Coturnix japonica: one gene and its partner. Each later gene encodes a partner of the first gene's protein in a complex. Links are inferred from orthologs where the notes say so. Each region holds a gene or a part of one and is shown on either strand. Other genes may lie near its edges. The genes, in order: DLAT and PDK3.

Region 1 (4,385 bases):
CCTAAGGCTTTTGTGGGGATTGTTTGTTTTGGCTTTTGTTTGTTCTGTTTTTCCCCTGCTTTGCTCTGTCCTCCTGCTACCTGTCAGCTCCACTTGCGCAGCGCTGGCTCCGGTCTGCAGCAGGCACTGTTGACTTTAAAGTTCAAATGGCAAGTCAAGGCTCTGCTCATTCTTGGTCTGTGTGGCCCTTTCACGGCCTGCCCGCATGTCTGTACCGTGCATGAGGCTGGGAGAGGGTGAACCTGGTTTTACTGTTTTATATTAACACATCCCTCTGTAAATATGTTACTGTTTGGAATTATTTTGTACCAGTTTACATTGTCTGATGACCGTGGATATTTTTATACCAGTGCAAGTGCTTTCTGTATATTTCTGCACGCATTATATGGTGTTTTTCTCTCTGGTGGATCCTGAGATGTTTTGTATTGTCTTCTGTTCACACAACACTGGGTTTGACTTTATTTTACTTTGGAAATTCAACTAGTTCCCACTGGATTTTATGTTTTGCCCGCTTGTACAAGCAAGAAAGAGCTGAAGGGTTTTACAGGGCCCTGTGCCAGCCTGGCAAAGGGCAGCACAGCTGCTGCTCTGCATGATTTGTTGTGGTGACTTTTTCTTTACGGACAGAGGCTGGTATCAGTAGAAAAGCTCATCAGTGTGTAAATGCATCAATAGCTGCAGGCAGGGGAACACATCTCGCTTGGAAAAGAAGGATTTTCATCCCCCCTGGAAATAGTTTTCTGATGCTTGTGTTTCAGTGGGTTGTTAAATACAGCATGGGGTTGTTCTATTGGAATCAGTTGTAATTCAATTGCAGTTTGTTTCTCAAGCGTTTCATCGAGTTTTGCTCATTGGTTCTATTTCAGCCAAGGGTCACACACCCAGGACAGGATTTTATGGAGACAGTTCTCAAGGTCTGTAGCTGCCACTTCATGTTGTTTGATGGCGGAGCTGTTATCAGAGCTTCTAAGGGATACCTTGCCCTTTTGGTACCCAGTTTGCAATGGGAAAGGAGCTGTTGTATCTACATGAAATGGTGCTGCCACCGCAGTCACTTCAGCGGGTTTGTTTTGTAAACGTGCTCTTCATGCTGCACGCGGGACCTCCGCTCCGTTGGCTGGAATCCGTATTTATTTCTGCCCGTCTGCCAACTTACTGCCCGCTCCCATACTTTTAAGCTGACGCTGTACCCCGTTATACGTTACATTATATTTTCGTATTAACTCGACCTGGTGCTCATCATTTTCTGTGCGAGCTGCCTTAAGGAGCGCGGCGGGACGCGGCGCATGCCCACACGGCGTCACTCCGCGCCTCCCCCCCCCCCCCCTCCGTCCGCGCTTTACTGCAGCGCAGCAGTGTCGTGCGGGCCGTGCGGCGCCGCGCCCGGACGGAGGAGGTCACCGAGCGGCGGAGCGGTGCTGCGGTGCGGTGCGGTGCGGTGCGGTGCGGCGGCTCCGGTGCAGCATGTGGCGGGTGTTGGCGCAGCGCGTAGCCCCGGGGGCCGCGGGGTTGGCGCGGGGCTGCCGGGCGCTCAGCTCCGCCGGGGCCGGTCGCGCGGCGGCGGTGGGCGCCGTGTCTCGGGGCCGCGGTCCGGCACTGAGGCCCAACGAGCTGCTGCCGCCTCTCGCCTGGCCCCGCTTCGTGCCGTGCCGCCGCTGCAGCCTGCCGGCGCACCAGAAGGTGAGAGCTCTGCCGCCCGCTCCGAGCCCCGCTCGGCATTGCGGGCCCTCCACCCCTCCTGCCCGCGCTCCCCGAGCCCCGCTACCGCCCGCCGTTCCTCCGGCGCCCTTAGGCCCGTTCTGTACAGCTCCCCCGCTTAGCGCCATCCCACCTTCCTGCCCCGCCGGGAGGTGGCAGTCGGGCTGTTCCTGCCGTCCCGCCCTGCCCCGAGCTCCGGCTCCGGGGGCTGCTCGTGCCGTGACGCTGCTCCTCCCCCTGCAGGTGGCATTGCCGGCGCTGTCCCCCACGATGCAGATGGGCACCATCGCGCGCTGGGAGAAGAAGGAGGGCGACAAGATCAGCGAAGGGGATCTCATCGCGGAGGTATCAGAGGGTGCGGGGTGTGCCGGGCTTACACTGGGCTGCGGGTGTGCTCTGGGTTCTGTCACTGCCCGCCCTCTCTTGAGCACGTTTTGTGAAGATCTTGCTGGAGATGGATTACCTGCAGCCTGCCAGGACTGGCTGCTGGGTTTGTTCCTTCTGTGCAGGAGGAGCACCCACCCCTTCCGAGAGGAATCCTCTCCCGAGCTGTTGGTTTGTGCCAGGGCTCTGTGCTCTCAGACCCCACGTTATGGCACTGGAGGGCTCTGAGCTCACGGCTGTTCCCTTTCCATAACAATGTCCTGTTCTTTCTTTGAAAGGTGGAGACGGACAAAGCAACAGTTGGCTTTGAGAGTTTGGAGGAATGCTACCTGGCCAAAATCCTGGTACCGGAGGGAACAAGAGATGTTCCTATTGGGGCCATAATATGTATCACAGTAGAGAAGTATGTATTTTCCAAACCCTTTAGTTGAATTTTCTCTGTTGGGGCTTTGTGTGTGCCCTGTGCTAAAGGCCATGACAGTGTCATTGGTCTGATTGTTTGGGTTTTTTTAGGCCTGAACATGTCGATGCCTTTAAAAATTACACTCTGGATTCTGCAGCATCTGCTCCCCCTGCAGCCTCAGTGCCTCCTCCTCCAGCTGCAGCACCCTCACCCCCACCTCCGCCTTCTCCTCAGGCTCCTGGCAGCTCTTATCCTCCTCACATGCAGGTAACAGAGCATTATTAACCATCTGAGGTTTGTTGCATGCTTTTTCTTTTTTTTTGGCCTCATTTGATTTAGGACGTTTTGTCATAAATACTGTCAGGAACAGGAGAGCATTAGCTACAACCACAGGAGCACATGGCTCTCAAAGTGGTGTGTGCTTAAAGCAGCTGTTCGTGGTGGTCCCAGAAAGTTTTCTTATTACAATGATTTTTGTTATCCCAGCTGCTGGTAGGAGATAACTTGTTTCTCGTGGCTACTTGAGCAGATGAGAAAAAAACTGCTGCATTCCTTTGGTTTGGACAGCTCTGATATAAAAAGACTTTGTACTTAGTGTGAGTGGCCTGAGGGCCCTGCTCAGATCTCAGCAGAACCCAGAAGTCTGTGATACTCTGAACATACCAGATGTGTTTGTGAGCAACTGAAAATGAGCTCTATTTGTGGATAATCTGTTTGCTTAGATACTGAAGTGTGCATCCATCGTTGTTCTGTCTGAGCACTTTATAGCAGGGTAGTTCTGTGATGTTAATTTGAAACCCGAGATCCAAAATATCTCCTTTCACAGTTAAAGACGTGCAGAAACTGATTTGTCTGAGATGCTATGGAAAGTCAATACATGAACTGGGTATTAATTCAGTGCTTCTTGATCTGACTTGAATTCAGCTACTTGGTTAATTGCATTATCTGCCCAGTTCTGTTCTAAAGCTGTTATGTGTGCTGTGTTTGTTTTACACAGTATGTGTCTAAACCTACAGCACATTTAAGCGCTTAGTGGAAGACAAGTCTGTATAGCTGTTACAGGAACGAGGCATGTTTGTCAGAGTCAAAAGTAACTTGCTGTAGCCTTCCTTTGAGCCTTACAGACAGCAGCTGCAAGACTGTCCCCAGGGATGATGGTACTAATTATCTAGATTTCTTCATTTTTGCATTTGCTTGTTTTCTTGCCTTGACAAAAGAAGCCAAACTTGAGATACAGCACGAAACTGTGCTTTGCTGTAATGGAAGCAGATCTAAGAGTGTGTTAAACGTTTTCTGCTCCTTTACGTTGGCATCATTTAGTCAAGAGTTCTCGACTATGTCACTGTTCCTTTTGAGTCTCCAAAATCTGATGCATTCGTACTCTGGCTTACAGGTTGCTCTCCCAGCTCTGTCACCCACCATGACAATGGGCACAGTGCAGAGATGGGAAAAGAAGGTCGGGGAGAAACTGAACGAGGGAGACTTACTAGCAGAAATTGAGACAGACAAAGCCACAATAGGTGAGTCAACTCCAAAGGCAAGAACAGATGAGGGAGGATCTAGAGGAGCCTCTGTGCTGGCTGTTCCCCAGCTGCTCAGGACATGAAGATGTGGGGCAGTTAAAAAGTGTTTTGTTGCTCTCATGCTGCTGGAGAGAGAACCACTGGAGCTCCCAGAAATAACTGTTTGCCCATCAGTCCCTGGTAGGAATGTACAGTGCACAAGAGATATTTCCTACCTTTTACACTGAAAAAATAAAAAAAAAGAATTGTCTACCAGATACAGACACAGCTTTAGTTACTGAAGTCTTTCAGAGTTACTGTTTGGTGTGACAGGCACCAAAACAATTTTGTTTCTTTCCCCTTCAGGCTTTGAAGTACAGGAGGAAGGCTACCTGGCA
Region 2 (4,308 bases), on another chromosome or scaffold:
GTAACGTTCTTGGCCTAAAGCCAGCCCTGAACAGCCAGGCAGAGTAAGCTCACGTCCTTCTGTGTGCCCTTTCTTTAAGTGCTAGGACACAACTAGACATAGAAACACTACCTTCCCCAACAGACACAGCCAGCTGGTTACTTACCTTCTTCCCCAGGCATACTTGACTGACCAGTTATCCACATAAGAAGCTGACAGGACTGCTGGCTATTTCAGATCACCTGTAGTCCTTTAAGGCATGCTTTGCACAGCTGTGGCAAGTCTAAATTAGGAGGATCTATCAAACACACAACTCCAATACTGGTATTCCTGCCCTCCTCCTCTGTGCTCTCCGATTGTGACACAGAAATCCTGAGCCCATGATGACACTGTAACCCCTCACACAGTCGTGGCAGCTATGAAGATAGCTGCAAGCTTGACAGAAAATGCATCACATATGGGGGTGGAGATACTGCTTTAAGTATTGCTTTCTGGTTAGCTTTGCAGGGCTTTGGTATTAATAAGCTAGTTTAAGTATTCACAGAATCACACAGAATTGTAGGGGTTGGAAGGGACCTCTAGAGATCATCGAGTCCAACCCCCCTGCCAAAGCAGGCTCCCTACACCACGTCACACAGGTAGGCGTCCAGGCGGGTTCTTGAATATCTCCAGAGAAGGAGACTCCACCACCTCCCTGGGCAGCCTGTTCCAGTGCTCCGTCACCCTCACTGTAAAGAAGTTCTTGTGCACACTCGTGCAGAATTTCCTATGCTGTAATTCAAACTGTCTTCCATAGAATTTTAAATGAATTAAGCTACCTGAGCAACTTTTGCAATTCAGTGAACACTTTGAGCTAATTCAGACAGCAGGGCTGTATCTCCTGATGCAGCACTATAGATTAGGGCACCAAGTGACCAATCCTTCCATGCCCAGCAGGTCACAGTTGTTGCCCCAACATCTGCCATCAGGGCATTTGATGGCAATTTCTCCTCAAAGTCTCCAAGGTCTCCGGTGGAACCTGAAATTATCCAAAGCCACCTACGCCCAGGGCTGGATAGGTTAAGTCACTGCACTGTTTTTGACCTATTGGATTAGATTGCTGTTATCTTCCTACTCAGGTTACCTCAGTAAATACGTGTGCCAAAGAGAAAGTTAGTGAAGCCGTAAACAGGCTGCAAGGCTTATTAAGATCAAGCCGACAGTTTTAGTGAGACGCAATATCGGTTTCTAATCTTATGAACTCATGAAAACATCCCATAGTGATTATAGGAGCCTGAACCACAGCCGTATTTTTACTTCTTCTTCAGAGATTTTAAATGACAGACCATATAGCTTCCTGTCAGTTGTAATATATCACTACATTAAAATACACAGTGTAAGCACACACAGGGCTCCACAGGCACATCCAGTGATAACAGCTGGGACCACAGGCAGAGAACAGCACTGGGCAGGCTCTCACTATCTTAGTTTCATAGCATTGTTTGTGACAGCACAGAAAGACACAGTGTCCAGAGCACAAATGCGAGGCATGGCTAACACAGCAGCAAAGGCACACGTGGGGATGACAAGTCAGACTGGTGAGGAGGAATACACAGGTTCTAGTCAGGTTATCATTTTAATGTAACCCAGGCTAATCAGAGAATCATAGAATTACCCAGGTTGGAAAAGACCTTGAAGATCATCAAGTCCAACCACAGCCTAACCAGTACGCTAACTCTAACAACCCTACACTAAATCATATCCCTGAGCACCACATCCAAACGGCTCTTAAACACAACCAGGGATGGCGATTCAACCACCTCCCTGGGGAGCCTATTCCAGTACCTAACTACCCTTTCTGTAAAGAAGTTCTTCCTAACATCCAACCTAAACTTGCCCTGGCGCAACTTGAGGCCATTTCCCCTCATCCTGTCACTTGTCACCAGTGACAAGGTGGGGTGCTGGGCCTTGTTTCAATGGCAGAACACCCTGTGTGCAGAGACACAGCAGCAAGAACATCCCCGCTGCTGGATCTTTGTAGTCGCAGCCTTTTTTCCACTAATACCACCGCAATAAACATGCCACTGTTTCCACTTTTAATTGCTTTCAGGCTTAATGCCTCTTTCCTGTCTCCTTGTGTCTTTAATATCACACTGGAATGAAGGAGCACTATATTAAGCCTCGTGGTGCTACGCGTGACCTTTCTATTTACTTCAGCAGCTGCATTTATAGTATAATAAAACGTAAACAGCGCTCCTGCCAGAAGAGGAAGCCAATAACCTCTGACCCAGATAGAATCGCATTGTTACCTACATCAGAACCAGCTCTCCAGCAACACAAGGCACGCCCGGGTCTCCACTCAACAGCAAAACGCTATCTGTCCATCAGCAGCGCTTCCTAAAGCATCAACTTTCCACGAGCACCACGGCTGTCAAAGCTCGTGCTCCAGCTCTGTGTTAAACCAGTCTCCACGCAGAGGGATCTCAATTTCCATAGCCAAGCTCGGCGCCCCGCATCATAAGCGCTCTCCCGACCGTCTTCCCTCTCTCCCCCCGCTCCGTGCCGTGACGGAGCACCCCGAGGCCTCCACAGCCGCCTGGCGAGGACGCGGGGGCCAGGCCTCTCCCGTCCCCCTCGCCCGGCCCGCCCCGGGCCCGCCGAGCCACTCACCGAAGTCGAGGAACTGCTTGATGGAGAGCGGCGATGGGGAGAACCGCGAGTAGTACTCGATCTGCTTAGGGATGGGGCTCTTGAGCAGCACCCCGCACAGCCGCATGGCGCAACACTTAACGCGCTGAGGCGGCGACGGCGGCGCAGCCACCCGCGCTCATGCCAAGGATCGGCCGGCCCGGCTCAGCCCGTGTCGCTGCGCGGCCTCACCCTGCCCTTACCCTGCCCGGCCAGGAGCGGCCCGGCGGGAGGGGCGAGCGGAGGGAGCCCTCCGCCCCCTCCGCCCCGCCCTACTGCGCAGGCGCGCAGGCGCCAGCCCCGCCCCGCAGCGCCGCGCGTGCGTAAAGCTTCGAGCCCCAACGGTCGAGGTGCGTGGCCTGTTGTGAGGGAGTCTGTGTGGAGCTGGGAGCTGTGGCTCCATTCCGACTCAGAAGCCCATGAGACGGGCTCAGAGTTGGACTAAATGATATTACGTGATAGAATCACAGAATGATCCGGGTTGGAAGTTGACCTCAAGGATCATGTAGTGCCAACCCCCTTGCCTGGCAGGGCCACCAAACATACACCTTTACTAGATCAGGTTGCCCAGAGCCCCGTCCAACCTGGTCTTGAACACCTCCAAGGACGGGGCATCCACAACCTCCCTGGGCAGCCTGTTCCAGGGCCTAACCACTCTCCTGGTGGTTATATACCATTCACAACTAGAAGGGAAGAAAAGAGATTTTATTTGGGAACTGGCTTGTCATTGTCTCCTAGAATCTCCAGCATTCCTGCTCACTTTGAGATATCCCACTGTGGTACATAATAGGGTGATCAGAAATCTATAATATAATTTAGAAAATAATGATATAACGTAATGACTTGTAAATAGAGTTTGATTTTGACATGGTGTAGGGAGCCTGCTGTGGCAGGGGGGTTGGACTCGATGATCTCTAGAGGTCCCTTCCAACCCCTACAATTCTGTGATTGTGTGTGATTCTGTGATTTAATAGCTGTGTGGAATGAAGTGGAGTAACTGGAGGAAAACTGGTACAGAACTGATACCCTAACAATTTGCATGACTGTCTTTCACATTAAGAAAATGAAAGAAGTAATGGAAATGATGCAGATGTGCTTCAAGCAGAAAGGAGAAGCCAGAGCTTCGTCTTTAAGGTGAGGAGTTAGGAGTTTATATTCCCCCATAGCTATTTATTAAAACATTCAGAATGTGTTGGTCAAAATAAAGCCTCGCAGTCATCTTACTTGGAGCTTTGTTTCCTGAATGGTCATTGAAGTCAATATCTGCGAAAATAAAGAGGAGTAGGATCTTACTGTGAACTATGATCAGCCCAAAGTAATTGTCAAGCTAATATTTTCAAAGGTATCTTTAGTCTTGGAAACAACAACAACCCAAACTTTAAAGCTTTCTTTAACCATTTCACTAATTTGCGGGGTTTTTTGTTTGTTTGTTTGTTTTAGCATTTTCACCTAGAGCAGTGAGCGTGGAAGAGCCTCTGCTGCTTAATCTCTACATATGTGAGTATCCTCAGTACACAATTTCAGCAAAGCCACGGGGATGGAGAAGGAATTATATATTGTTATATATATATATATTGTTATATTTTCAGATCCTGTTCTTTCACGGCCCTTATGATACATATGCTTCCATTTTCAGGGAGCAAAGATTTTGCACGTAAAGTT

What was found.
Region 2: the proteins of DLAT (region 1) and PDK3 are in contact, whole or in part, in a crystal structure (PDB 1Y8N), measured with the Homo sapiens proteins. The link is inferred for Coturnix japonica from reciprocal best matches to the Homo sapiens genes DLAT and PDK3. Residues at the interface, in NP_001922.2 of Homo sapiens: Ala225, Leu226, Ser227, Pro228, Thr229, Glu248, Gly249, Lys259, Ala260, Ile262, Glu265; in NP_005382.1 of Homo sapiens: Arg21, Phe22, Ser23, Pro24, Ser25, Pro26, Leu27, Phe48, Lys51, Val55, Asn373, Lys374, Ser375, Arg378.

The regions. Positions count from the first base shown.
Region 1 is NC_029539.1:5,401,500-5,405,884, reverse strand, and holds the start of DLAT (dihydrolipoyllysine-residue acetyltransferase component of pyruvate dehydrogenase complex, mitochondrial), read left to right. Parts: upstream 1-1,392; 5' UTR 1,393-1,464; coding exon 1,465-1,680; intron 1,681-1,941; coding exon 1,942-2,043; intron 2,044-2,360; coding exon 2,361-2,485; intron 2,486-2,595; coding exon 2,596-2,752; intron 2,753-3,878; coding exon 3,879-4,005; intron 4,006-4,353; coding exon 4,354-4,385.
Region 2 is NC_029516.1:107,567,589-107,571,896, reverse strand, and holds the start of PDK3 (pyruvate dehydrogenase kinase, isozyme 3), read right to left. Parts: upstream 2,934-4,308; 5' UTR 2,735-2,933; coding exon 2,629-2,734; intron 1-2,628. UniProt on the Homo sapiens protein: Inhibits pyruvate dehydrogenase activity by phosphorylation of the E1 subunit PDHA1, and thereby regulates glucose metabolism and aerobic respiration. Can also phosphorylate PDHA2.